2 linked regions of the Drosophila melanogaster genome follow. The protein of the gene in region 1 interacts with the protein of each later gene in a pairwise test. Each region holds a gene or a part of one and is shown on either strand. Other genes may lie near its edges.

Region 1 (15,258 bases):
GAAACTGAAAAGAATGGAATTTTAGAAGGCCCTATTTATCAAATTAATTCGAATTCAAAACCTCATACTAATCGGACCATAATATTCTAACTTCTTTATCAAAAATATACCCAAAAGATTGGAAAATGCCCAGTGTAAATGATCTAATGAGGGAACATCTTTTAATCAAAACCACATTTTTATGACGGTACTTTTAGTAGTGCAAACAATTCTAAATTGTCAAGACCTTGTCCGTTTACATTTGATTCACTTATTGGAGAAATGAAGGCTTGCAGGCGCAAGGTTATCTTGAATTCTGCATAAGATAATGCGAAACCCTTCAAGCGGAACTCCTCGTCTTTCTTCCCCTTCCCACGATTGATTTTTCACAAGCGCAAAAAACACCCACGCACATCTCGGGAATTTGTGGCCTTCGATTTGTCCCTGATGAACAGTTAGGCGGAGAGTGGAAAACCGATCGACACTTGTTTACAATCGCAAAATAGTAATAAATAGAGAAAAGCCGTTTTCAAGTTTGCCATAACAACAACTTCAGTGTGACGCTGGCTGGCTGAACTGGGTAGGGGCGGTGTGGGACGCGGACGGCTGTCCTTATGCGGTAACACTTAAAATGAAGTTACGTTCGTGTGTGTGCCGCCAGGCTGTCTACGCTCCCATTCGAGAAAACCGTTGCTTTTACATACATACATGCACAAGTGTAAGGCTCTGCGGGTGGTGTAGTGCAGGGGGATGGGAGAAGCGGGTGGTAGGCCTTAACTAACATAAGATGGCCACACTTTCACGAATCGATCTTTCGTTCATAAAATGCTACAACTACACTACAGCCCATTCACACACATTCACTTAAAAAAATTGAATTATCCAAGCTCACACAATCGCACGCGAGTACCCACAGGTGTAGCTGAACTTTTTCAACGGTTACCACGATTAGCCGCTTTCTTTAGACACAAAACTCATACATTCTTTGCACGTCAAAATCGAAATAATTGTGATAAAAGCAAAAACAATATATAAAACGAAACGAAATGAGATTCTATTTTTAAAAGGTGCACTCACACACGCGCGTACGTTTGGCAGTGAAATGTGTGAGGGAGAGGGGGCGAGCCAGGGTAGTAGTAAAACAGTGCCGAGATTGTGCGCGCGAGCGATGTAGCACTATTGGCTACACGGTCACACACACACACACAGGCGCCAGGCAGCGTACGAATTACGCAAAGTGAAATATCTTTCTCAAAATGGAAAGTGGAAAAGTGACGACGACGGCTATTAGGAATTTTTCATACATCCACGGAACACAAAAAATGTACAAAGGCAAATGCGTATATAAAGTGTATAAATTCATACTAAGATAGAAAACAAATGGGCGAGGGGATGGGTGGCGAAGGTGAAAATTTGACCGCAAAACGAACATCACGAGGCGAACGAGGTCGCGCTGCCGAAAGTCCCGTCTCTTAATGATATCCCACAAATTTTAACGCCAGCCAAGCGACATCATCGTTTTGCACCGCAAAAGGGCCTTTTTCCGGTCGAATTAAAGCAATTTTTTTTTGCACAACACAGAACTCACTTTTTAATCCTATTTTTTTTGCTAGTGTGGCCGCACGCCGAAACGAAGTCACCGTCACTAGATTTTGAAGATAGGTTAACTGTTCTTCGATAACTATCGAAGAACTATGCCTGATGCATGTATGGTTGGTGTACTTGCTAACAGATGAGCAGAGGCCTTCTTAATGTTCCATTTACACAGAATTCCATCATATGGGATTTGAAAAATATGCTTCAAACTTAATAGTTTTTGCACAAAACGCCAATCGAATTATATTTCCAGTTCCAGGGAAAAGATTTCTGGGTGGAAATAAACACACAACTTTCAATTCTTAATTAGACTAAAGTCAAGCCTAGAATATTATATATTACAGTTCAATATAATTTAATACAGAATTTTGTTTTAAATAAATAGTATTTTGTTTATCTGGTATATAACAATGATTTTGCACAAGGTATTTCTTATAGCTATCTGCGCGGTCACACTGTTTTTGTGTGAAAATTCTGTCGAAAAGAATGTATTAAAAGTTCTTTGAATACTAATTCCGTGTAATTCCGACCGTGCTGTTTCAGAAAACTGTGGTTGGATTGGAAACTTAACCAAATTATAAGGTAAAACCGGGGCAGCTTGCCCATCGAAGGACCGCCACAAACGAATTTTCGCGTCGCATTACGTTTTAGTGTTGCCACCTTATACGGAGTGCCGGGCACAATTCCACTTGCTGGCCAAACGGATGCGTTGCGGTCGCGATGTGCACGCCGTTGAATTAATTCCTTCGCCCTGTTGATTGAGTACAGTTCGACTTCTCCGATCGGTGTCCTCCAGACCTAAATTTCGCCGGAATAACGACGGCAAACGGACGGACGGACTCTAGTCGGAAAACGGGCGAGCTGGCAATACTGCCAGTGCACAAAATGATGTGAATCTCGGAAAAGAGGAAAGCTACAGGAAAAGCCAAGGAAAAGCAAGCCGGTAAAGTGTGCAAATGCGAGTGGCAAGCAAAGACCTTTGTTTCCCATTCCATGAAGTTTTCTTGAGTTGTCCGCTGCTGTGAGTGGTCATTATCAGCCATCATCATCATTGTCGTCATCATCACCAAAGGAGCTCGTCGTCATTAGGCCGGCCACCAGCTAAACGGCATTGAGAAAACTCAGCAGCACCTTGTCATCCAAGTCTTGATCTTCGTCTTGGTCTGGATATCCGTATCCAATCACACAGTTCAGGTGGGTTCTTGATCCAGACTCCGAATTCGAATACGAGTCCTAGATTCTCATGCTGATCCTTTTCCATATCTACAGTTATGTCCTCGACCGCCGGAAAGCGCAAGGAGATCTACAAATATCTCGCGCCATGGCCACTGTACTCCATGAACTGGAGTGTAAGGCCGGACAAGCGATTCCGGCTCGCACTGGGCAGCTTCATCGAGGAGTACAACAACAAGGTACAGATCATCAGCCTGGACGAGGACACCAGCGAATTTAGTGCTAAGAGGTATACCGAATATTTGTTTAGCTGATCCCTTCTACTTTCTGTTTTCATTTTATATTTCGTATATTATCTTTAAAAAATAATATAAAATGATAAGCAGTTTTGATATTATTGTAATCATTTTAAATATGAATAGTTATTTGGTTATACGAACCATTTTTCCGAAATCCCCTTCCTCACTGACAGATTATTTCTTCTTCAAATAGCACCTTTGATCATCCATATCCGACAACCAAGATCATGTGGATCCCGGACTCCAAGGGTGTCTATCCGGATCTGTTGGCCACCAGTGGCGACTACTTGCGGGTGTGGCGTGCCGGGGAACCGGACACGCGGCTCGAGTGCGTACTGAATAACAACAAGAACAGCGACTTTTGCGCTCCCCTCACTTCGTTTGATTGGAACGAGGTGGATCCCAATCTGGTGGGAACCTCATCGATAGACACAACCTGCACTATCTGGGGACTGGAGACCGGACAGCCGCACGCTCGCGTCTATGTGGCAGGACACGTGAAGACGCAATTGATTGCCCATGACAAGGAAGTATACGACATTGCTTTTTCGCGGGCCGGCGGCGGTCGGGACATGTTTGCCTCGGTGGGAGCGGACGGGTCGGTGCGCATGTTTGATCTGCGGCACTTGGAGCACTCGACCATTATATATGAGGTAAGTAGAACGCGCGAAAACACAAAAACGGATGACTACATAACGATAAATCCAATAGGATCCTGCTCATACGGCGCTGCTGCGCTTGGCCTGGAACAAACAGGACCCGAACTACTTAGCCACCGTTGCCATGGACTCGTGCGAAGTAATAATTTTAGATGTTCGTGTTCCTTGTACACCCGTTGCAAGACTGAGCAATCACAGAGCGTGCGTCAACGGTATTGCGTGGGCGCCGCATAGGTGAGACTATAAGATTCCTTAAACCTAAAATGTGCCTAAACAATTTGTATTTTGGTTTGCAGTTCCTGTCACATCTGCACTGCCGGTGATGATCACCAAGCACTGATCTGGGATATACAACAAATGCCACGTGCAATCGAGGATCCAATTTTAGCCTATACAGCTGCCGAGGGCGAAGTCAATCAGATTCAGTGGGGTGCCACACAGCCCGACTGGATAGCCATTTGCTATAACAAAGCGTGCGAGATCCTGCGGGTCTAAGTAATTTTTTTTGGTCTGGTCCTTGCTGAAGCACCTGACTGCAATTGCTGAACAACGCACAGTCAACAAAGAAGCAAGTCAGAAAAACACACAACACCCACAAATAAACATACATTTGCTGTTGGTAACTTGGAAGCGGAAAGCAGTGAGCTTAAGTTGGATTAGTTCTGTCAACACGCGTCCGCAGTTTGTTTAATTTTACTGTCTGTCGAGAGAGAGAAAATGTGAAAGTGACGGATATAGAGGCAGAGAAATGGAAAGAGAAAGGGCTTAAAAGAAAGATATGAGTTTGAGGGAAAGAGAAGAGGACGAAGCACTTATTCTAGAATTCTTAGCTGAGTTGATCTAACAAGTATGTAATTATATAAGGTATAACCAAAATATGTTTTATAATTGTAGTTTATTTCACACTTGACAAATCCCGACACTCACACCCCCGAAAACTCCAATCAATTAGAGCCGCTTAATCTTTTTTATTTCGTTTTTATACGAACCCAAATGGAATGCAGAAGAAAAAGAAATCATATTTATTATAACACAATGTCCTACCTCGTTTTTTCAAACATGAATGCTGTTAATCGAGTTTTCGAGTCTGGTCAAAACAGCAACAACCACAAAAATACACAGAGAACAAAAAATGAGAGGTAAAAAAGTAGCCGGCAACAACGCTTTTTCGAAATATTTTTACTTTGTTCGATTTTTGTAACAGATCCAAAAAACGGAAAAACGACAAAAACAAGAGATAAAGAAAAACAAAAGCAAAACCATGGACTTAAGCAATTGCAAAACAAACATAATATGAAATGAATTAAAGAAATAAGCGAAATACTTACATAGATTAAAGATTAAAAACCAAACCAGGAAACTGATGACGAACTGCACACAACACAGCTAGAATACAATACTATTTAAAGATACAAACTAAAAGATAAAACAAATACCGAAATATATGAGCGAGAGAGAATACAAGATTGTTGCTATATCCATTTAACAAACGAGCGAAAATAAGCAAACAAACTATGATCATTTCAGATAAGACACGACCCTCCATCAATAATCTCAAATCTTAACCACATCCCATACTTTCCACAGGACAAAGCGACTTTTTCAGATAAAATCGAATACATTTTTTTTATGTATCTTGTAATTTATAGCAATTTCACAACTTATATATAAATATGTATACAGAAAGCGATAGCAGTAATAATAATCCCGATGATCGTGTATTGTAAATACAGCATGAAAGGCATATTTTAAACGAAAACCAACTTAGGCCCTGATTTTGTATAGCCATTTAAGAGGCCACTTCACGGGAATTTATATCCTCATATCCGAATACTTTTTCGTTTGCTGCAGAAGAGTAAGAAACTGAAATCAAGTCTATGGAATTTGGAATTGGATATATTTTATACGCTCGTAGCCACTAGGCGAAGACATTTTCATTAATTTGGCAAACCACGGTTTCCGTAAAAAAAATAATCGAAAAAAAACCAAGTTAGAATATAATTTTTAATTTAATCTTTATTTTCGTGTGCCCTGTTTTGCATTATCCGACTTACGTTACATTTATATATGAAATGTATATGTACACAAACACACACACACACACACACACACACTCAAGCGCATATATATATGAGCATCCGATCGGGCTAAAGTATTTACTAGAAAGCTAATGATTGATCGATGGAATGGATGGATCACAAAAACCAAACAAAACAAAAGATCACTGAGGAGTTTGAGAAAACAAACCAAATCAGACAAATATTTAAATAAACCATTTTTAAATAATGAACACAGTCTCAAATTAAATCGGGAAGATCTTCGGGTGCACAAATGTTGCTGATGTCCACTACTCCTCCGTGAAACGCTTCCTCCGGTTTCCCATCTTTTTTTCCTGCATCAAAAGGGGCGGCAGGGCTACATGAAAAGGTAGCTAGGATTTGTGGTTCATGATATACAATGAACTGGATGAACTTACCTTTTAGTCGGGCTTTTCTTGGCTATCAGCAGCTCGTTAACTTTTAGCTTCTTAAGATTGACCACAAGGTGACCTGTAATCTGGGAACGCTGCACAGTGGACTCATCCGGCTTGACCTCCTCGCTGTACGCGATCTGGAAGATCTTTTTTTTGACGGTGACTCTAGTGTATGTGGTCTGCACATCGACGTCAATTAGAGAGGTATCCAGGTGTCTGGGCGAAGGAATATACATATGCAATATTAATTAAGAATTTTGAAGTGTATGTATATGATTGGGGCGTAGAAACGATCAAGCAATACCAATATCGATATACATATGTAATATGTTGGTGATAACTTGTAAGATATGTATAAGTTTGGTTAAGACATCTTAGCCTAGCTTACCTGTACACCTCCAGTTGGAGCAAGTAATGGTCGGCCTCATCCCGAAACTTAAAGGGCAGTTTGGCCTGGTTCAGATTGTAGGGTCTGCCACAAGGAGCGAAGAGGTTGCGCTGTGGCTTCAGAGGGTCCAGTGGGGACTTGGTTTCGTGCCGCTCCCGTCCCAATCGGTGTTGCCGAGCGATCTCTGTGCGAATCTCCGGGCAGTGCTCGCTCTTCGCCTGCCAAAAGGCCTTTATGCGCTCTTCTTCGTCCTCTATGCCGGCACAATGTTCAGCCAGAGCGGACTGCTGCTTCGCCACCCGGATACGCTGCTCATCACGTTCGATGTCCTGTTCTACCTGCTTCTGAACAATGATGGACCGGTTCTTGGACAGTTCCCGCAACGCTCGCAGACGTTCCGAGGGAGTGATCTCCACGCAATCCAAACTGTTCAGCTGTGGCAAGGTGGCCACCACGTAGTCCCTGTAGTGCGGATAATCCACGCAAGGATTACCAATGAGTACCAACTCGCGGAGATTGTAATTGCCACATAGCGACTCAACACTGGTTAGCTCTCTTATAAAGTTTAAAGTAAGATCCAGTTTACTAAGCGACTCACAGCCCTCCAGATTCTCCACTCGTTCTATGTTGTTGATGGCCACATTGAGGTACTCCAGGCGCTTCAGCTTGTGCAAGTTCTCCAGGCGCGCAATCAGGTTGGATTGGAGGAGTAGGATCTTGAGGTCGCGACACCAGTTCTGGATGTGTTCAATTACCTCGATGTCCTCCTGGTGCAAGGAGATCTCTTCCAGCGTGCTGATTAGACGTTCATTGTGCTCTGATTTCTTGCGGACCAGCTCTTCGGTGACTGCGGATTAGTCAGTTTAATTGGTACGTTAACATTACTATTCTACAATTTCAATTACTCACTAAGCACCATACTGCCGAATGTGTGCTGTAATGAAAGTTAATAAACTTCCACAAGCCGAAAAGGGCCAGGCCAACTCCGTTGCTAGGCAATTTTATATTCCACATTCCTCGTTATTATTATTGGAGAATAAAATAATAAATACTATACTATTCAAAACTCGTTACTCAGCAATGTACATACTTCAAAAGCGGGCGAGAAATTTTGAAATTTTGACATTTTTCTCGATATCGATATCGAAAACAAATAAAAATGATTTTTCACTAGCGGGCGTGACAGTTTGGATTGGTTTGTGGACGTTGGAGAGGTGTGGCCAAAATGTGTTTCGTATACCGATAGAAATTCGCCAGATAATAAAAAATAAAAATAAAAACGAAAAAATATAACAAAATTCTACATTTTACATATTTTTTATACGAGCCTTGCAATGGGCATAGTTAACCAATCCCAGATAATATGTAATTAGTTTCTAATCCCAGATAATAATTACATATATTTCATAGCGCCCCCACTATGCTGCCCGCTCTGAATGAATTTCGCCCCTGGACAAACGAGAGAAATCTAATCAGCTGAATTACAATTAAGTAGTTTAACTAGCGAATTAACAGCGACGCATTTACTGCGGCCAGCTCTCTAGTCTTTTAGCAGCGGGCAGGCGGAAGGTTCACAAAAACTAAATTCAAATCGAATCGGCTGACAGACAGATACATATAGACCGGCAATGAGTTCAGATAAGAACGGTGATATCTTGCGGCCACTTAGCGATAGCGAAGTGGACGAACTGCTTGATCTATACAAAGTTAAATTCGGTATAAGGAACTTCCACTACCTATTACTGTACAACCAGCGAAAATGGGACCGCCAGCTGAGCGAGGCTCAAATACCGCGCAATGATCTGAACCACATTTCTCTGAGAAAGCAGTTCTACACCCATCGAAGGGGAAACTTCCGGACGTGGGGCACCTATGTGAGCCTTCATCGGGACATCGTGCAGAGCGTCTCCTTCTTCAGCTGGCAGCCAGATGGAGCCGCGGAGCTGTGGGAATGCCTGGAGCAAACGCAGCTCATCGAGTGGACACAGGGAGCCCTGCTGACCAACGTTGATCTGGGATTTTGTAATCGAGTCAAAGAGTTGGCCGTCAGCCGCGGGGTCACCGCCATTCAACCACGCCAGTGTTTCGGGATGGTTTTGTCGCACGAGGATGCCTTTTGTGCAAAAGTTCCAGATCTGCCCTCTGAGTTCGAGATTCGGCGATTGAGGGCTGAGGATGCAGCCATGGTGCACGATTCCTGGCCTAACAAGGGTGAAGGCTCACTCACTTATCTCCAGGCGCTCGTCCGTTTCAACAAATCCTTGGGCATCTGCCGAAGCGACACTGGGGAACTGATTGCCTGGATCTTTCAGAACGACTTTTCCGGACTGGGGTGCGTATATCTGAAATATATCATGCACGCGATAACAGCAATGCATTTCAACTTAAGTATGGTGCTTTTGTTCACAAAAGGGATGTAGTTTAGCAACAGTTAAGAAACCAAAAGGTCAAATAAAAATGCTGAAACAATGTGATCTGGCTTTTCCAAACATATATGATCTCACTAATAATGTTCTTCTTTTATATTCATGCCGATGCGATTGCTAGCACATATGTATGTAACTTAATTAACAAAGTAACTCTTATGGTTTTTAAGAACTCAATTCATAATCCCTGTGAACAGCATCACTGTCGGCATAGTAACGATGATAATATATGTATTCCAAATGATAAGCATCTCTGTACAGAGCTAGTCCACGATAAACTTTTCTCTTTATTTCTCTTTAGCATGCTGCAAGTGCTGCCCAAGGCGGAGCGTAGAGGACTAGGTGGCCTCCTAGCCGCTGCGATGAGCCGAGAAATTGCTCGGGGCGAGGAGATCACCCTAACGGCCTGGATTGTCGCTACTAACTGGCGGTCGGAGGCGCTGCTCAAGCGGATCGGGTACCAGAAAGATCTGGTCAATGAGTGGATTAAGCTGGTACCGAATTCTTCATAGACGCTCCGGTCGCCAAAGAACTGGCGACGGTGCTGGATAGTTAGACAACTGGTAAATAGGTGAGGTCAAGAAGAAGACGAGGCGATTTGCATTTGCTTTGCCTATGTACATGTACATACATCAACAATTTTATTTTGGCATTTAACATGCGTACACGCTTTCTGAATACACTTTACGGCTTAATGAAATTCGAAAACAAATTCGAAACTAGCGGGCGGGAGGGGATATGGAAATCGGGGACTCGAACTACTTATTTACACATACGGCTCGCCTCCAAAACAATATCAAAAATACATTTTATTTACAGCATTGCATTGCATTCTAGGTATATATACATATATTACGCACTTTTGACTGAATCAAATTTGACATTTTCGAGTTAATTAGCTAAAGTATGTCATAGGGTTACGCATTTTATACACCTTGCGTAAGAGTGTGTCGTTTTCTCTCAACGGGATTTAAATTGAAAATTTTGCGAAACATTAAGAGCGATAATATCTTAGAATTAAGACACTCCTTCAGTCCCTTTACTTTAACTACTATTCATTAGCCGTATTGATTACGCACCTTTTACGTCTTATTTTCATGTTTTAATTCAATCATATTAAAGAAGCAAACTTAAATGTTTCAAAAGTCGGTTGTGACATTGTTTTGTGGGGTTGAAGCCACTTCCTTTAAATTCGATTGAAAATAAAAATGTTGCTTCTTCAATTAAATTATTAATTTTAGAGTTGCGCCTCTTTAGTCAAACATATTTAATATATACACTATATATATATATATATAAATATATAAATATAAATATAATATAATAATATAAATACATATATATATTTATATATATAAAAGAGGGGAGAGTCGGAATTTGGATGGTGGTCGTCACAGGTTAATACTATTTAGCTAACCCGCTTATTGGATACATTCACTAACTACACACTAAACAAATAGTAGCCGCGTTGCCGTCCCGCTCGGCATTCCGCTGCCATTCGCCAGCAGACTGTTTCCGGGCGTTCTGTGCAAGCCATTGGATAGCTTCCCGTTGACCGATCCCCGGTAGTACGGATCTGCCTGTTGCTCCAGCGGCGAGTACTTGACATAGCTAGTCTGCGACAGCGGCAGTGTCGGTTGCTCGCGACCCCGCGTAAGCTGTTTGGCGCGATTGTAGCAGAGCACACCCACAATGGCCAGCGTCATGCCTACGCAATTGACCCACGTCACTGGGTTGCCCAGGATTAGGAGCGATACTGCGATCACAAATATTCGCTTCGATGCGCTGGCCACCGCATAGGTGAGCGGAGTCACCAGAGACAAGACGCTGAAGGCGATGATGTTCTGCAGCCAGTTTAGGACACCGTCGGCGAAAAGCAGGGCAATAACTCGATAGTCTAGGTTTTTCTGTAAAAGCGCAAATTTGGGTTAGTTAAAAACTTTAAGCACAAATTCCTCTCCATAACTTTGGTTTTGGTCATTAGTTTTCTTCCAAAGTATTTAGTGTTGAATACACTTTTAATCTTGTATTGCTCGTGTGTATTTACTTAATTTGCTTGGAAAGGACTTGTTTTCTTAAATAATATTAACAATGACATCCAAGACAAATGCAAGGGAAATGTCATTTGGCATAATAAGGAACACATAAAGAAGTAGACGATAGAAAGGTAAGACGAAAGGTAACCCTAACTAGCGCCCTATCAAAAATACTATTCAGAAGATCAGATGTTGCTCATTTGTGCAGAATAAGGTACCCTACTCACAATGGCCGTGTGGCGGAATACTGCAAAGCTGTCCATGTAAAGCCATAGGGGGAGGAAGATGAACAGCGACAGCTTGCCAAGCAAATGCAGCAGCCGTAAATGGTGGATGTTGGTGTCCTTGAGAACCTGTCGACGATAAAGGTAATTTACAAATGTAATGGAATCAATAACAGACTCTGCGGGGGCGTTACCTTTTTTGAGAAAATGTTTTGCATGGAGAAGCCCATTGTGGAGATGAGGGCGCTGATAAGGCCCATCATATCAAAGGAGATCTCCGTAACTGTGGCTATTCCCACGCCGGTGATAATGGGCAGCAGGCTCAGGTACACGAGTGTCGGTTGTTTCTCACCAAAAAAAACGCGTGTCAGGACGACGGTGAATAGTGGCATTGTGGCTTTGACTGTTAAAGAATAAAAACGTATTAAAGTTAAGACCTATTCCTTTACCGGCAAAATAAGAACCTACTTTAAACTTAAATTCGTTGATCAATGGTTTGGCGGTAATCATAAATATTAACTAAATTGTACTTAAGCATTACTTTTTATAATTGTTTCGAAATCGGATTTAGTTGTTGGATTAAGCATTGACACAACAACTTTTTATATCACTTTACAGCGTTTACATTGATCATTAAAATGCTTGAACACCTTGGAAATGTACAACTACCTTAAATATAATTTTTTGAATAGCTCTTCAAGATAATTGGTACTGTAATAAGGAACATAAATATAATGTCAATATGCCAAGTACATATCAGCGACACGATCGTTATCACATCTTGCCGCTTGGAAATTTCCTCCCAAGCACATCACACAGATTCTGCTGACGTGTTGGGATACCACTAGATTGGCGGGCACTTGACTTACCCGTGTGCGCGTAGGAAACTGGCACCTTCCATAGAGAGATGTGCGAGGTGACGGAGGCCAGGAGCTTGCCAAGCGCTAGCGGCACAATAAGGCGGTAATAGTAGGGACGAGGTATGTCCTGGTACTTCCGGATCCGCCACAGGTTGAAGAAGGGTCCGCTGTACAGCGTGATGCTGCACAGCTGCACCAGAGTCACGGTCATCGGAAAAGGGAACTCGTTCAGGACCATCTTGCCGATCACGTTGTTGCTGGAGGAGATCACGTACCAGAAGAGGCACATCAGCAGCACGACCGCTATGTGCCGCGACCCAGTCCGCTTGCCTAGCATTTTTCGTCTGGGATTGGCCCGTGCTCTCGTGGCTTAGGTGCGGTGCCGATTCTACCGCGAATCGTTGGCGACGGGCGAGGGGCAAGTGGCAAGACCTGGTCCTGGAGCTGCTGATGGTGCTGACAATCCGACACGCGGGGCTTATTGCATTGCGCCTGTTGTTCTTTTAAAATTTAAATCGTCTATTAAAACGTCGTCTGTTTTTTGTTTTCTGTCAGTGTTACCAGACTGTTAAAAGCCCTTTTACCCCAAACGCTCTCGATAAACCGCAATTTTGTACTCCAGTATGCAACAGTTCCGTCAAAATTAAAACAAAAGTATATACATATATAAGTTATTTCCAAATAAAAATAAGCTAATGCATTATTTTAAGAACTGTAGACGGTTGATAGTGTTTATTTCCCTGCCAAATTATCATTCGAAAACGTATTTGATAACATGGCTAATCAAATTTCGTCCTTCCTTCTGGGTTTTGATAACCGAGGGTTTTGTATTTGTATTTGATGCATATCCAAGTATAGCTATAAAATAAATCGTGTATGAGAATCGTTTATGGGAATCTGATTGTGTTTTCAGATGGCGATGAATGATGGGAATGTAATCGATATGCTTTAAGTCATACGATTTTATATTGTGAGAAATGAGCAGTGTGGAATTAGAAGTGTGAAGTTTTATATATTAATATTAGTAGCTTTGATTTGACATTAATTATTGAAGTAAACTTTTTAACTGGATCATGTCCAAATAAAGAATAGATGTCATTAATATCAAGCGGTGTTAGATAATGCACATCATATATGTGTGTCAAATTAGCATCAATAATTTAGCAGCGAATATGGAGCGGTGGAGTTTGGAACACGAGGGCTGTTAGGAATTTCATATTATCTAGCTATCTATTACAAAGACAGAAACATCTAACGATCTAAGCAGCTTTTGGCTAACTTTGAAGTCTAAAAGAGAATTTGAAAAGCGTTCGAAAAATCCGAACTATTTTGCGGATTTTTTCCCTTATACAGGTTGTACCAATTAACTTCGGTGAAAAGCCTAAAAAACTATCGGTTAAAACAAAACCGTTTTACAGTGGTAGGAGTTAATTAAATGCAAGAAATGTCGTTAAATTAAAAATCCTTGTTCGGATAACCACATATGGACATTTGAGCAATGTAAAAAACGTGTATTCACAACGTATATATTCAGGCATGTAATCGGTAATCGTTTTTTTTCGATTTCGATTTTGGTCTGATCTGTTGATTTAGTTTTTAGGTTCTCTAGTTTGTGCAAAATTTGCTATCGGAGTGTTTCATACATAGTAAACAGCTGTTTAAGCTGTTTTCCAGACAATAGAGAGGCAACAATTTTTACAGTTTCAATTCCGAAGATCGCAATTACTTTTGTACTGCACCTTGACCATTTAAGTTATTAAATTCAATATTTACGATAACACTTTTGGCCCTCCATTAAATTAATTAATAAATTCTTTTATATTTTATACGTATTTTTACCTGCGTTTCGTTTCACAAACAGCACTCGCGATAACTTTTGTTGCGGACGGCAAAATTTAGTTTGTCATATCTGAGGTGGGGTCAGAAATAAATTTTGTATAAAATAAAAACCAAACACTCTTCATCGGTACCACTAGGCTTACTCATTTGACTGAACAGTATTTTTTCCAGCCTAAAAGCATTCATAATATACTGTGTTATTCGTTCTATTGAGAAGATCACATATTTTCGGGCTGTTTATTTTAATTGCGATTTTACTTGTTGTAAATTCGGATCGGTGCAAATACAACCGTCTTCAAATCGACACCACCACAACCCTTGAGGTCAAAGAACTTCAATCAGCGTTAAAGGATGAAAAATGTTTCAACATTTCAACAAAAATTGATAAAGGAACACCAAGCACCAGCAGCACAATCCCTACGAAGATTGCCATTGGATATCATTTAGCATTATTTATAAAAGTCTTAAGTTTTGGCAGTATAATTAGGAGGATCCGTATCCATATAATTTAATTGAGCATCTTCACACATTTTCCACTTTGAAGAAAATAAAATCAATTAATTATTATATATTAATAATTTAAACAAAGAAGTAACTAGCTATTTTGACCATCGACTCGACTTATTGATAGATCGGCAGTTTGTCGATTATTAATAATATATAATAAATAATATTAGGTATTAATTATTTGATGTTGGGTTAACTAATATATTTTAGGGCGGGGTGAGACCGAAAAGATTTGTTCTCGTTCCTCGTTTCCATTGATTCCTATATTTGTCTACTACTGCAACGGTAGTTGATGCGTCAGACTTTAAACCGTCCGTGTAAAGCAATTTCCGATCGGCGTATTTATGGGTATCTCCAAAGACACTAGATTAACAAGATGCGTAACTGCCATACATTAGTTTTGCACTATGCAGCCACTTTTTTGGCGACGACCAAAATTGCCCTCTGTCCGCTCGCTTACGCTGATAGCGTAATAAATCTAAAACTAGAATTTGCTTGCTTAAAACAATAGACGAGAACGTGTATACATATGTGTGGGTATTGTGCTAGAAGAAGATTTTCAACCGAAATCAATTCTGATCCAAGAAACGAATTTACACATGTCGCAGACCATTTAAATTTAACGACATTTCTCGCAATTGCGTGTTTCTACTTGGGACGCGCAATGCAAGCTGTCTGCACGAATAACGGGAAGCGTACAGAATAATGCAGTGTGAATTAGTATTGGTGTATGCGGACTAGAATAAGTCTCCAAAATGTGTTGGTATTGCGTGTCGAGTTAACAACTACGAATAATTCT
Region 2 (15,931 bases), on another chromosome or scaffold:
CAGAAAGATCATTTTGTAAAAGGATTCCAAAAATAATCTTACAACTTAGAAGGTTTCCAAATTATAAAAAGAAAACTATAAATGAAGATAGAATTTTTTATAATTAATAATATTCTACATATTGGGTACTTTTTGAATGTTACAAAAATATTGATCCTACTTTATAATATTCATACAACTTGAGTAATGTGTCGATGTTGAAAACATTGATGTTCTTTAATTTCTTTAACTTATTTTAATAGAATGCATTTAAATAAAAGCGGTTTTTATTTGACCCGATTAAGCGGGCTTAGGCCAGAATATAGAGCAAACCATTTAAGACGGCTAACGAATAAAAGAAAAATTAAATTAATGTGCTTTCAGCCGTTTCTTTTTACTTTGAGGAACCACTAGCATAAAATTGAGGCAAATGACTAGTCCTGCGCAGTGTCCAAAAAGGGGGCGTGGCCAAGGACGACCAATCGGATGGCTCGGATAATACGCATTGCTTTTTATCCGCCAGTCAGAGGAAAATGCCGAAGCGATGGGAAGCTGTGGAAATCACTCGGCTCCACACTTGTTGCTCGCCAAGTGAGCAAGTGGAAAGGCGCCGAGGAAAAGCGTGAAAATTGATAATAAACGCACTTCGCACGTACGCACACTTTCGCACGAGCATTTAGAGGGTGTGGTCGCATAGGACACTTCTAGTCACATTTATTGCCAGCTTTTATTTTATGCTTTTGATTTATCGTGCGGCTTTTACACTTAAGAAATCTTTGGAAAGAAAAGTTTTCGGTCAGCTACAGAATTGAAATCATTCACCATTCTGCAGACAATGAACGATGACATACTTTTAGGCCCAGTCCATAAATAATTCGCAATCCAAAGCAATATAAAGATGTACTTGATCATAATCTGATGACCATATTCAATCCGTTACATTTTCTAACTTAGAATCCTTTGGTGATTTTATGATTAATGTGCACCACTCCCTTCTGCACTCCATCCATCTTCTCAGTTAGCTCTCTGGACATTGACCAATTGCCGAGCCATTAATTCCCCTTCTATAAAAGCACTTGTCGTCTTAAGTGTCCTTGCGGATTGCTACTGTTCCGGCCATTCCACCCTCTTCTTATCTAGTTAATTGCATTTTTATTTGCCTGTTGCGCGAAAACAAAACCAAAAAAAAGAAACACAAGTGGAATGGATTTTGTGGCGCTTTAAGTAAATAATACAGTTTTTATTACCTCCATCGAATTGTACAGATAACGCGAGTCAGCTTAAGTACTTAGCACTCGACGCAATTAGTCGTATGTTTTGTAATAATAAAAACTTAAGAGCTAAGCGTAAGCTGTAATTTTTTTTTTTGTTCACAAGAATCAACAGAATAGGTCTAGCTTAAGCAAACATTGCGATCGGAATCAATTAACATTTAACATTTCAACCAAGCGACTTAAAGTGTATATAGTACAACAGAGTATTTTTCCTACATAATTAAGCCTACCAAATTGCACACTAGCACACAAGCCCTAAAAACTACGACTACAACTAGTCTAATTGGCCACGCTAACAAACAGTGATTGGGTTTGGCTGCCATTACGCATCGTAGATCTGAAGATTGTCAAAGTCATCGAGCGTGTCCTCCGACCCCGAAGTGGTCAAGTCCGACAGCTCATCAAGGCACTTCTGCCGCTTGCGGACATTCCAGTGCAGACCCTCGGCCAGGGAGTCAAACCAATCGGAGATTTGGTCCTGGGAGCAAATGCTGGGCACGGGATAGATTGAGGTGGTCACTCGCAGGCTGTCCCCATGGTTCAGCTCCTGGTCGTTGCGTCCGTCGAAGGAAACGCGTGAGGTGTTGCGGCTATCAGGTGAAATTGATATCTGCAAGGTCAAGGGAAATCTGTTAGTTGTCGTGCTATTAATCGCGATCTAGACAGCCAAAGTCCGCATAAACTTTGTTGTCATAAAAAGTTGCTTAATTGAAATATAAAATTTGTAAAGTGGCGGATTTAATTATAAGCAAACTCACCTTTAGCTCCACTCCGGCGGGCACCACAATGGGCCTGAAGCTCAGCGAGTGCGGGCAAATGGGCGTCACCAAAATGGCCGGCACGGAGGGATGGATCATGGAGGCACCGGCTGCTGCCGCATATGCTGTACTTCCCGTGGGCGTCGATACGATCAGGCCATCGCCCTGCACCGACGTAATGTATTTGCCCTCCAAGAAGATATCAATGTTGCTCAGGTACGGCGAGGGTCCTCGGTTGATGACCACCTCGTTAAGCACCAGGATGCTATTGTTGTGGCCATTGTTATTATTGCTGCCAGCTTTTCCTGTTTGTCCGTTGTTAAGCTCCACGTAGTTGAGCTGCCTTTGGAAACTCGGTATCAGGAGATTACCACCCACCGAGTGCAGAAGCGATTCCTTGCGGCGTTCGCCCTTGCGGTGGATGGAGCAGCGCAGGCGACTACGTAGCGTTAGGGCAGCATGACCCTCCAGGACATTGGTCACCTGTTCCTGGAAGTTGTCGCACTGGAAGGGCGTAAGAAACCCAAGGGAGCCCAGATAGAAGGCCATCACCGGTGGGACAGATTGCTGGAACAGCTGTGAGGCGTACAGCAGAGTGCCATCGCCTCCCAGGCAGACGATAAAGTCAATCCGATCGGTCAGGTCATCGCGGCCATCTCTGCGGATTCGGAAAGGGAATTTATAAGCTTAATTCTTCCTAGAAAACTACTCTCATTTGCTGGTGCAATGAAAAGTAACTTAAAAAACTCTCATTAGCTACGTAATTGTACTCACTTAAAGGTCACTAGCTTTTCACGGAGATCCAGGAAACGCGCTCTTACTCCGGCGTACTGTTGATGCACTTTTTGGAACTTGGAGCTCTCCTGCTCCAGCTTAACATCATCCCGTAGCAGCTTGTCCTCTAAGACGGCTGACTCCACCCAGACGACCATGTGCTTCTCCTGCACCAGCCACTCCACCAGCTGAACGAAGGGCGGCAGGACCTGTGAGTCCTTCTTTTTGATCACGAGTACGGTGAGAGGTGGCTTGTACCAGGTCAAACGCTGACTGGCCGGATCCTGAATCTGCATCACCATGGCGGAGTTCTTCATAATGCGACCACATGGCCCGAAATGCTGGAATGGCGACGGAGCATTCAGACTTCTAGTGCGCCTGGAAATATTAAAAGAGAAGAATCACATTAGAGATCAGATACACAAAGAAGTTTTGCCATTACGAGTACACCTCAAAATACGCGGATCGGGCGCCACTGGGGTCACCTGTTGCTCCTCAGTTTCGGAAATCTGGCGCTGCATGGCCGAAGCTAGTCTTAACTTTTGGTGCTGCATAACGCCAAATTCTTAGCTAATTTCGATGGTCACGCCCTTTTTATTATCGGTTTATAGACAGGTACGTAGTGCTCAACACACAAACTTGTTGGGAATTCCGATGCGAGCGCGACTGCTGCTCGTTCGAAGGTTACAAAATCACTGACAGGCCAATTTGGTGTTCGAAAACACAAAATAAAGGTATGTGTATAACGAATTTATATTTTTGTTTTCATTACAACAACACGTAGCAGCGCAAATAAACTTGTTGATTCTGCGGCCCAAACAAACAGGAATTGCACATGCCAACAGAGAGCGGAAGAGCGCGAAAGAGAACCCAAAGAGAGCGGAAATGGAAGTGGTGGAGCAAGAGCAATGCTCAGATTCTGCTATTGAACTTTGTGCGTGCGAGTGTGTGAGTGTGAGTGTGTGGGGGTGCTGCTAACGGGTTTGATTGATGTGCTAATTCACAGTGACTCAGCACAAAGAGACTCAAAGATATCAGAGAGAGTAGAGTAAACCAATGAGCGGTGAGATAGAGATAGACTGACAGGAACTGGACCACTGCACCATGGGCGCTGTGGATGCTGAACAGTGGGATGCATCGGGTTCCGAAATTTAATTAATTAATATTTGTATTTATGCAAATTGGAAGAGATAATTGCTCTAGCTACACTTAATATATTGTGCAAATGTATATAATCGCTGGTTTCCATCACGGCATTAGTTATTAACATTAAAATATATGAATAAAATAAAATCGATACTGAATTTCTTTTTCCATAAATCATGCGTTCTGATCTTTAGAAAGCATCAAAAAGCACCAAACAGTAAGGTAAGATAACGCAAAGTGCTAATACTATATTTTAAACACGTTTTAATATATTGATACAGTCCACATCATTTTTCATCAATAACATAATTTAATCGCATTGCACTTTTTTCATCAATCAATCACGGACATAGTGCCATTGTGATTATAAAAATACGAACTGACTCACTTAAAGACAAAGCACAACCGACAAAAAACTTGGGCGAAAGGAGCCCGTCAAGGAAATTACGTTAAGATGACGCATACGTTCTGAGGCAGGAGGATGTGATGACAGAAGGTGATCTTGTTTCTCCAACGACTCAATCATGATAACGACTTCTGAGGAAATGCACATTCATTTCTTAACTTACGCGACTTGCTTCGCAGTAAATGCTCGTTAAACGCACGCGTTCTTTTGCTACTAGACACAGACTAAACTTAATTTCCAGGTGAGAGTATCGATCGGCACAAGAAGAAACCTAATTGCCCATGGAACGTCAGCATGACAATGTTTTAAATTTCGTTAAATCACTGGCATATCGCAAGCGCTAAGTCCGGTTCATTTTCAATTTCCCGAGGGCTTTAATGAGGGGTCTACTACATGTACATACATATGTATGTATAATCGATTTACCGTCCAGACAAGCCATGCAAATGCGGTTAAAGCCACCTGACCTGCACACCTTTGGATTTCGGCACGGCGAATCGGTCACGAGCGACTGTCAATCCGATTTCGTATGTTTGTCTGTCTGTCTACCTGTTGCTCTTGGTTTATGACCGGCGCCGAGCACAAACTGGCACCGATTTCGAATCTAACTGGCATCTCAAGTTCTTCGAAACAAACTGTAAAAAAATAGTAGCTGTCAAAGAGAAAAAAAACCTACACATAAATTAACAGACGGCGCCAACGTAGTACCAATGATTGAGGTGTTAACAAACTCGTTTTTAAGTGGCCAAAAAAATGGAAATATGAAAACACGCAGCAGCAAACGCTGAACTATGCAGAAAGGTCAAGGACTTGTTTACCTGAATGAATTAACTAAAAAATAAAAAAAAATTCAGCCCAAAGGAGCTTATTTACTGATAACTTGCTTGCTTAATCATGCTGATGGCGAAATATCAGTTGTGAAATTGATACAAAGTTCGATGTGTACTATTAACCGATTTGATCTGTGTAAACAATAAACGCCTAAATGCACACCACACTTCTCACACCTGATAAGCACCAACAAAATGGTAAACACTTGATTACGGAGCTACACTTCTTATCGCGGACATGCCGCTAACAAATGCTGCCACGACCTGATAACTTTCAGACAAACCCCACTGAGCAAAAATACGTCATCTATGATTAATTATTTATAATTTTTTGTTCTTTTTCTTATTATTGGTTGCTTTCTGACTTTCAATAATTTGTTTATATCGAAAATAATTTGTTGACTGAGAGTTATTTCTAGAACTCAAGGTCTAGTTGTTAGTAATTAAATGTATATATTTTAAGACTTCATTATGAAAATATATAAAAAATTCAAGGTCATGGAGTAAAACAAAATATCTTGGGTGAATATTACTTGGCTTTTAAGTTAGCTCATACCAATAAAAAAAGTTTCACTTTGTTAAACAAATATTCTTGGTGGATTGCAAACATTCTTTTAGCTTTCATACGTTTCTATTCTTAAGCTAATTTGGCTTTTGGGCATGAGCATTCAAAGTCCATCACTTTTTTATTTAAATTGTGAATCATTTTCCCATAGTTTTATCTAGTTCATAACTATTCTTTCTGTCTTTTGCTTATCAGGATTTTTTCGGGGTTGCCGTGAACTGTGATTAGTTGGGATTACTTACGGCCAAGTGCCACTACGCGTGCGTCGTGTCGTGGAATCGAAGTAGCCGTCATCCGGATCCTGTTCGGATTTGGCCTGAATGTTTCCTGGACTGGTGGCCACACAATCATCAGTGGATGCTTGATCCTTGGCCCTTGTGCTGGCCCTATTGGCCGTGTGTTGGATGATTCTCTGTCGCTTTAGCGACGCATTGTGGCGCACGAGGAGATCATTGTACTGGGTCTGCTGATGGCCAGTGCCACTCCAAGCCAGCTTGTAGCTGAAGATCTCCTCCAGGCGATGCTGGTGCAGGGTGGCCAGGTCAATGTCCGACAGGCACGTCATGTTCAAGTCTTTTGATTGCTAATTATGAAATATCACTCAAAATGTTCACAGGTGATTCGCGTTGCTAAAACATTTTGCCACTATAAATTTGGATTGGAAAATTCAGCTTAACATTTCGCTTGGCATTTCTTGGAAGCTCACACCCTTGAAATGGCCCTGATTTTGAGCCAATGGTAAAATAGACGAGTTAACCTTGCTCCCTTTTGCTGGAGGTGTTAACAAAGCTAACATTTTTTGTAACAAAAGAATGCAATACATTTTTGTGGGATATAAAAACGGTAACTGCTTTGGCGCGTGGTAAAAGTTTATAAACAAAAACGATCAGTTTTTTTTGTATTTTGGGGGGAATTTTCGTATTTGAACCGGTTTTGTGTTTCTTGTGAAATTTGTGCAAAATAAATTTGTTATAAGCAATCGAATAGTTTGTTTTGGTTGCTTTTTTATTTTTGTCCAACCTAACGGACCAGCAACGTAGTTCCGGCTTTGACGAAAGAGCCATACAAATCGAGGGAGATGCGAGTCATTAGGAGATGGCTAGAAAGGAGCGACACAAGGCCTCATATGCGTCATTAGTCAGCTTCCGTCAGCGGGGAATTTGGGGTGGTTTAGCGGTATTTGGACTTGGCCAACTTTTATCGCCTGCTTTAGCCAGCACCACGACATAACGATGTCAAGTATAAATCAATTGGCAAGAAATCCGCTGGCAAAGCGGCACGAAAAAATAACTCGGACGTACTAAACACAGTTAGCTTTATAACGAGAAATATAATTAAATCTTTTTCGTTCGTGATCGCGTTTGCGTTTTGGTCAACAACCTTTGAGCAAGCCAAAAATCGAAAAAAAAACGTCCACTTGGACCACAATTAAACAGTCTTCTCTGCAGCTCTTTTGAAAACAACAACCCACTTGGGCATAACAGTATCGCCAGCCATTAATCTAGAAATCGTGACCTGTGTGTGCGATCAGCTTGAAGTTCCCCATCATTTCGGTTTCTTTCCGAAAGTGCCCCATCAGCAGTTCATTAACAGAGGTCGTCCCAAGATTCTGTTGAGTGGCCTGATAAGATGGAGGCCTTAACAGACTGGGGAAGTACCTGTGGAGGAGGTCTTCTTGAAGCTTGGATCCTTGCTGAATTAGCAGGAGTACAGAGAGAACATGGGAAATAGATTCTTCAACTGATTTTATCAAGAATTGCAACTATTATTTGAGGGGCGTATTTGTTATTAAGCTGCACAACAATCCAATCATCTCTTCCCAGTCGTTTCAATCGAGTGATCACTCGCTTTTGGAATTCTAATTAACTATATAGTTATTATATTGCATAACCAAAATGTTAGCATCGCGTGATCCAAAGCCCGCCCGCTCTTCTATTTTTACCCAGATCAGGAAGCAACAAGTAAGCACAAGTCATTGAAACGCTTCTGTAAATCAAACAAACAAACAAAGGAAGGCACAAGCCACCAGTCGCTATATAGCCAGTTACATCCGTAGTAATCGGACTATGACAATAGAGCGAATTGTAAATGACTTATGGACATGAGTTATACAAAGAAAACTGAAACAAAATAGGCGGCGAGCACAAATTAATTAATCAATAAACGGACGAAGCGAGCAGCGCTAAATGCGCAGCGGCATCGACTAAGTGCAGCGATTATCATTGAATGGATCGGCAAGTGGACAAGGGAACTGCACCTACGAATTTGTGTAACCACTTGGCCACAACGTGCCCACATGTCAGCACGGGTTTTGCCATGATATACATAATTCAAATGACGCCTTTCGTTATGAATTCATAGGTTCCAAAGTTGCAAATGCAGGTACTAACGCTGAACTTTCATAGTACACGTGCAACCTTTGTTTTTATTATTAAAATGTAATCAGTGGGAAATTGCTTTGCATAGATTATTAAACAATTAACAAGCAATTTTCACTTTAAAAATAATACATCGAGCTATGGACCGGGCTTAGTCCATGGCTATCTTAAGTAGTAATAAACTACAATATTGACGCTTTGATTTATATAATTTATATATTCCAAAAATGTACTATATTTATAACTAATTTGTTTGAATTATTTTATGAAGCGCCCAGCTAATACAGTGAATACATTGCTTTACTTTCAGTTGTGTGTTCAAACTTTGTGCTAGTTTAGTTTGAATAAATAATTAACCCCCTTTGGGTTTATTTATTCTGGCCAGCAACATTGCTTTATTGTTTATTTAAGTGAGTCAAAGAATGTGACAGTCCAACTAGGTTACTAAATTCTTTATGATCTGTAGTAGATTGGACTCTTTAGAATAAAGAATTATGATCTTTTACACAAATTTGGCTTTAATTAAGTTCAAGCATAAGTTTTTAAATAAGTGCACGATTCAAGGTAGCAACATTTAACGATAGCAACTTATTAGAGGTGATAAGCTCTTATTAAGCAACTAAACTGAGAACCCGACTTGTATAATTTGACCTCCAGTTCTTGAGTGGATTCTACAGATTGAGCTGAGTTTAATGCAGAACCATCTAGCAAAGTCTGCAAGAAGTTGGAGTGTATCTGCAATATCTAGTCTCTGTAGTTAGATGGATTGCTAGCCAGCTGGCTGCAGACCGTAGAAGGAAATCGAAAGTGGGCTTGCGGCTCGGAGCCCAGAAATGCCAAGTCATGTGTGCGCTAGAAAACAGCGTTAACGTTAACGTTAACGTTAACTAGTGGCATGCCAACAAAGTGCTCTAATTACACGTTATATAATCTGTTTTATTTTCTCCTTAGCACTAGCTCGAGCCAAGGCGAAGCTTCCAGCATTCCGGCGGCTTAAACATTTAAACTGACCAGCGATCGACGGCAAGCGGGTAAGGTAGGTAAACGACCGAGTCGAAAAGCGAGCAACAAAACAACGTTCCACGATCGACAGGTGAGTTTCAGTTTGAGAGCGAACACGACCGTGCTGTCCGGTGAATATGCGATAACTGAGCTGCGACGCCGAAAAGGTGATTAAGTTGGACGATTTGTGCGCGATTCCGATTCGAAAATAAAAGTACGCGAGCCGAGCGATTGTAAACAATGAACGGCCAGATCGTTTGGCGGGTTTTTGCCGGACATCGCTGGTTGGAAATCAGCTGAGCGCAGCCACGCGTCATGCATATGTATGTATGCTTTAGAGCAACAGGTGCTCTCACTGTTATGTAAATGTAATCAGCGGCCAGTGGCTGTTTAATTGCTGCTATCAAAATCCCACAAAAATATGATTGATGCATGCAGTCAGCGGGTAATTCCGTTTTATAGCGCCATAAGAACAATCTAAGCACGAAATTATTACTTTTCGAAAAGCTGGCATAACAAAATGTACAGCCCTGTTAACAGAGGCTTTAAGCCTATAATTTCCGACACTCAAAGGAAAAAATCGGAAATTAAGTGCAGAAAATCGATTTTAGTGGCCTGCATCTGGCACATGTCACACATTCGTCACACGTGTTAACAGTAGTTAAAATTCGCAGAAAATTACGAACCCAAACAACATGTGTGGGCCACTCGAGAGGCAAGCATTTTCCCGCCAGCTCTAATTGATTGCCAACAATTCACTATATACTGTATGTACATAGTGTACGTAGGTGGTACATTTCCTTTGCTGTGAAAAACAGGGCTGTACTTATTTGATAACAATTCAAATTTCGTCTCCGTTCGTACTTAAGTTTTGTTTTTTTTAAACCAAACCTCTAATCTCGAGACAGGTTAAAAGGAATGTCTGAAATGAAATGTGATGGTTCAGCAACTGGAAAAGAATTGTATTCCATTTATGTTTAAGACATTATGTTTCTTATATAGTTGTCAAAACAAATGATTTTAAAGAACTAGCAATAACTAAAACATCTGTTATAATAACCGTTTTTTAGACGGATCGATAAAGCAAATGCAAATATAAACTGCAACAGCCTAACAGCTGATCACGAAACAGCTGATCCTCAGCTAGCAAAAAAAAGGCCAGATCTGGCGTGAAACCGCAATCAGGTGTTGTCATCACTTTGAACCGCCCACTTACCACCACATACGCATCTGGAGGTCATCGCTGGCAGTGCCGTTATTCAGGTCAGGACCCGGTGCTGATGATGCTGCAGTGCCTCCTTGTCCCTGTCGTATGCTGTTCACATGGAGCAGCTGATTGTCGTGGTCGTCGTAGTAGGATCCATTGCACTGGGAGGCCGACTTCGGCACCGTTTGCGCGGCCGACGGGGTGGTCGTTGGGGCTGGGTTAACCGTTATGGAGCTAGAGGACTTCATTGTTTTGGCCACCTGCTTGTAGCTGTATGTGTGTATATCTGTGACTGCGCACCTATGTGTGCGCCAATGTGAGTGATGTGTTGTGTTGGCCTCAACTTGACCCACTAACGCGTTGCACCTGCCGACGACACCCACTTTCGATGGACAACTTCCCGATTTTGGGCTAGGCGGCGACTAGCTCCTGATTTGCAATTTCACGAACGCGAGTTTCAATGGGTCCATGTTATTTGTTTTTTTCCTGCACCAATTCACGTCTGTGTGGCAGTTGTGCGCGTAGCAAAAAATACCCATATCAGCAGTTATCACCGTATGGTCACACTAAGGCGCGAGAGTTTAAATTGGTCTTTCGCTTATTATCAGATTTGTTTATAAAAAATAAACAGCAAGTGTTGTTGGGTTTTCAAGTTTACTGGCTTATATGTTTAAATAATAGGTATACCAATGATTTGCTTGGCAACCGAAATAAAACCATCTAGGTTCGTACAATTAAAGTATTTGAGTTACACTGAATATAAAAAAATGAAAAGCTTCCTAAAACTATATACAAAACTTAATTTTTCTTGTTCATTAGCACTTCATAAAAGTATTCTTAAGTTATTTTAAAAACTTTTTTTCATTTAAAGACATTACACCTCTACTCAAGTTTAAAATTGAAAAATGCCTGGCACTTCAAGGACATTTTTCGCTACAACTTACCGAAACTGAGTTCGCTTTTCCAGCAAACTGATTGGCAGTGCTTTCCTTAGCGGAGCTGGCGAACTCCCAGGCGTAGAGGCGTCTCCATTGGCCATTTCACGCGCCCGCTGCATATCTTCGGGATTCATTTCGAACTTAATTACAACCGTTCGCTGGCAACGTTCGCCATCAACTACGCTCAGATTTTATGCAGTTCACACGACCAGATAGGCACGCATCGCACACCTGCCGCACGCACACGCAAAAAAAAAAAAAAACGGCGAGCACACCTTGAGTTCGGCGGGCAAAAAAGGCGAAAACATGCGGCTAAAACACGATCGCGCGCATTAACACAATGGCACAAGATTTTAGCCGCGTAATGAACATGGCTCGTACCGCCTGAGGGCGCAAAACATATAGCCTCAGCATCGGCGATAGCAACATACACTTTCGATTCGCACCCAAATCGATGCAAACTAATGCTTTCTGACAGGCCCAAGTGCGTGGCAACCACGTGAATCCAATCCAATCCAATCCGATTCCGATTCGATTGGATCCAAAGACAGTCGCGAGGTGAACAACATGCAACAAGTGGCCTGGGAGAGGCGCTCTAAAAACCAGTCCAGATGATCTGGGTGTGCCGGCTGGAACTACACTAATGCGAAATCTACAAGGCGAAGCTGGAGGAGAACACATTTCAATCAGTTTGCAATCAGGCTTAATCTACAGCACAACTTGACAATGTTTTATAAGTTATGTTCAAGCTAAATTTGGTAAAATGCTTGAAACATTCCATTAATTTGCGGCTACAAGCTGAATTTACAGGTATTATTTTATTAAGTAATATATAATTCAATTGCTTATCTTTTTAGAAGTGGGACTTTTTAATGTTAATTCTCAAAGATTTGAGATTCATTCATTCAATGCTCTCTACAACTTTTTGCTACAGTTTGCAACTGCATTTATATTTAACTAGCTGAAATGTACAATATTGCAAGAGCACTGGCGTTTCGAACAGTAAAAGTTATAAAATGATTTCCATACATTTGGCAAATGTGTTTAAACAATTTGTTACCGAAAATACTACAAAAATTACACACTAAGCAAAGGGCGAAAGCATTAGAACTACAACTAAAAGCCCTAACCTACGGTTTCTATTAGCTGCAGGGACTTACGCACTACACATCGTACAATTTCATGTTCTCGATCTCGTCCAGCGTATCCTCCGATCCGGATGCCGTCAGATCCGACAGCTCGTCCAGGCACTTCTGTCGCTTGCGCACATTCCAGTGCAGTCCGTCGGCTAGGGAGGCGAACCAGTCGGATATCTGATCCTGGGCGCAGATGCATGGCACGGGATAAATGGAGGTGGTCACGCGAAGGCTGTCGCCATGGAAGAGCTCCTGCCTGTTGCGTCCATCGAAGCTAACCCACGATGTGTTGCGGCTCTCGGGGGATACTGATATCTGAAAATGTAGCAGATGTTAGAAACGGATCTATGGGAATTATGAGTAAAGCGACCCACCTTCAGCTCCACTCCTGCTGGCACCACAATGGGTCGGAAGCTAAGCGAATGCGGGCAGATGGGAGTCACCATAATCGCCGGCACGGAGGGATGGATCATGGACGCACCGGCCGCCGCCGCATATGCCGTGCTTCCCGTGGGCGTCGATACGATCAGACCGTCGCCCTGCACCGACGTGATATACTTTCCGTCCAGAAACAGATCAATATTGCTCAGATACGGCGATGGACCACGATCAATGACCACTTCGTTGAGCACCAGTATGCTGTTGGCTGCAGGTCGCGCCTCACCATCTAGATCTGCCTCCAGAGTCTTAGCCTCGTGTTTCCTATCGCTCCTGCGATGCATAACACAGCGCAAACGACTGCGAAGCGTTAGGGCAGCGTGACCCTCCAGGACGCTGGTCAGCTGCTCCTCAAAGTTATCGAAACGGAAGGGTGTGAGAAAGCCGAGGGAGCCCAAATGGAAGGCCATGACGGGGGGCACAGATTGCTGGAAGAGCAGCGAAGCATACAGCAGGGTGCCATCGCCACCCAGGCAAACTATAAAGTCTATGCGATCGGTCAGATCATCTCGGCCATCTCTGCGGGCATAATGAATAGGTTATTTATATTATATACACATTCTCATTAAACACCGACTCACTTGAAAGTCACTAGCTTATCCCGAATGGCCTTGAATCGCACATTTTCGTTGAGCTGGACATCCTCCAGCACGGCCGACTCCACCCAAACGACCATGTTCTTCTCCTGCAGCAGCCAGTCCACCAGGTAGACGAACGGTGCCAGCACCGAGGCATCGCTGACCTTCTTGATCACGAGCACGGTGAGTGGTGGCTTGTACCAGGTGAGACGTTGACTAGCCGGATCCTGGATCTGCATCACCATGGCGGAGTTTTTCATGATGCGACCACATGGTCCGAACTGCTGGACAGGCGAGGGTGCATTCAAGCTGCGAGTGCGCCTGTAAAATAGAGTTGGGAAAACAGAACAATTAGTATGGATAACTTTGTTGTACCTAGCTCCTTAAAGACCTTAAAATATGGCGATTGGTTTTGGGCCTTAGAATTGGCTCCTCCCGAATGCAATTGTTATTGCAATCATTTATATCCTCCCACTTCACATTGTTGAACTCTTCGATGCTCAAGGAGCTGTGGAGCGGAAACGAGGCAACCGCCTGCGGCTGATCAGGACGCAGGGGAAACATTTGTTCAATATTTCAACAGGATTTTCAGAATATTTGGCTTGTTTTCTCCACCTTTGCAGTATGCAGACTAAGTTCTCTCAACTGTAAATCAACCTTATGCAAATGGCGACTGCGAAGGCAGACAGAAGTCGAGAGAAAAACATTGGGGAACATTGGTGGGATACGATTCCCCAGAATCGCATTTCCAATTCCCCTTCCTGCTTGCATTCGTAGATGCACTAAGAAAAACAGGGGCTTGGTTAAACATTCAGTTGTAAGGGAACTTATGTACAATAAAGTAAGCAACAATAAAGTATTTGATTTAAAAGATCTACTTTAAATGCTATAAAAGTTTTGAAATTCGAACATTTGGAACAATAAATCTTTATTCCACTTGAATATGTAAGTAGGAACCATATTTTTGCCAGTGCACTTATTGCGCCATCGTACCGATTTGGATTTGGATTACGAATTCCATGCTTTTCGCATGCAATTTCATAGCTAGGGGAACCTTTCAGCTGTTTGTCCACTTACGGCCAGGTGCCGGAACGCCTGCGTCGCCCACCACCTGACGACGACGAATCAATGGCATTGGCATTCTCCCGGGAACGTCCCCGTGCCAGACAGTTTCCGTTGTGGTCCGGCTGCACTTTCCTCTGCAGATTGCGCTCGAGACAGAGCCGCGTCATGGCACTGAATCCGACATGATGATAATGATGCTGATGGTATATGTGGTGGCTATTGGGCAATCCGTAGTGCCAGCGCTGCTCCAAGCGATTCTCGTGCAAGGTGGCCAAATCAATGTCCGACAATGCCATTTCTGCGATTGTAACTCCACTTTTGTGTCCAAAAAAGAATGCGGTTTCATACACTTGCGCTCATGGAATGCAGTCGGACGGCATTGTTTTTGGCCAGCGGAAAAGGGACCAAGGTTAGAGTTTTGTTTTCACAACACGAGAGTCGGTTGCTTTTAAAAATAACACGCCCACGCACTTTTCATCGATGAGCCAACAAAATATGAGCCCAAAAAATGTGAATGTGTCGGCCGTAAAAGAGAAAGTGTTTTATCAGCGAATGTGACACACAAACTGGTAATCAGAAATGCATTACGCTGATGGAGTGTTTAAGAAAAACTAGGCTTTATGCTTTATGTGTTCACTTTAACTTTATGCCAAGGGTGAGATAATTTTCCAACGATTTTCCACCACTGATTATTGCGCACAAATGGGCGGAAAATTGATGGCCATAATGGAAATGACGGAGGGCCCTGAATTTGTCAACCGGGCGATCGCGAGTGCGAGCAACAACTGAGCGCCTGAGTTGACCACGTTGGTCCGCAGCGGACTGGGTTTTCTACTCCGCACCATTGACAGCTTCCCGATTCCAATCCAGATCGCACTTAGCTGAGCGCAGGCGCAGAGGCCTTGGCGATCAATTAGCAGTTCAATTGATAACATCGAAGCTATCAAAGCGTATCAATTGCCGAAATTGGCACAAGTCTAGACCAAATCGCTTTTCAATTTCTTTCGTTTAAATGGAATTAAGAAAACTATTTTAAGATGGGTTATTCAACTTTTACGAGGAAAACATGAGTGAAGAGGTTATATCTATGAGTTCCTAAACTTACTTAATATGGTTAATTATTTATGCTTACAAAATTCCTGCCAAGAACCTAGTACATGCCTTTTTTGCCATTGTACTAATAAACTTAAGCAACATAGCACTTTTGTTAGCCTAAAATCGATGTCAGCCTAGTTAATTAATAATTAGTAAGCTTATAGTAATATATTAAAAACAAACAAACAAAACATACACTGAATGCTAGTCGCGTGCCAGGTCAATGGAATTATCGCTTAAAGCACCTATTCGTACGGCCACCACTGTGTTGTTGCATGTGAGATGGGAATCCGATAAGAGTTGTGTATAAGACCGCATGATTACAAATTCGGGCAGGTGATTGGGACCTTACCACCACCAGC

The links.
Region 2: the proteins of CG14615 (region 1) and Nadk1a interact in a two-hybrid assay, tested with the Drosophila melanogaster proteins (one large-scale study listed by BioGRID).

The regions. Positions count from the first base shown.
Region 1 is NC_004354.4:22,442,173-22,457,430, reverse strand, and holds CG14615 (uncharacterized protein), read left to right. Parts: upstream 1-8,027; 5' UTR 8,028-8,195; coding exon 8,196-8,899; intron 8,900-9,294; coding exon 9,295-9,505; 3' UTR 9,506-10,248; downstream 10,249-15,258. Other genes in the region: wap (wings apart), read left to right, coding at 2,847-3,037, 3,241-3,700, 3,759-3,940, 4,003-4,201; tilB (touch insensitive larva B), read right to left, coding at 6,004-6,121, 6,183-6,395, 6,568-7,414, 7,477-7,486; CG14621 (uncharacterized protein), read right to left, coding at 10,442-10,900, 11,257-11,382, 11,448-11,656, 12,123-12,450.
Region 2 is NT_033778.4:13,536,187-13,552,117, forward strand, and holds Nadk1a (NAD kinase 1a), read right to left. Parts: upstream 9,264-15,931; 5' UTR 9,122-9,263; intron 6,378-9,121; 5' UTR 6,298-6,377; coding exon 5,975-6,297; intron 4,612-5,974; exon of another isoform or gene 4,501-4,611; intron 3,483-4,500; exon of another isoform or gene 3,340-3,482; coding exon of another isoform or gene 3,209-3,339; intron 3,164-3,208; coding exon 2,786-3,163; intron 2,670-2,785; coding exon 2,012-2,669; intron 1,864-2,011; coding exon 1,576-1,863; 3' UTR 1,185-1,575; downstream 1-1,184. Other genes in the region: Nadk1b (NAD kinase 1b), read right to left, coding at 12,421-12,708, 12,768-13,350, 13,413-13,730, 14,487-14,770.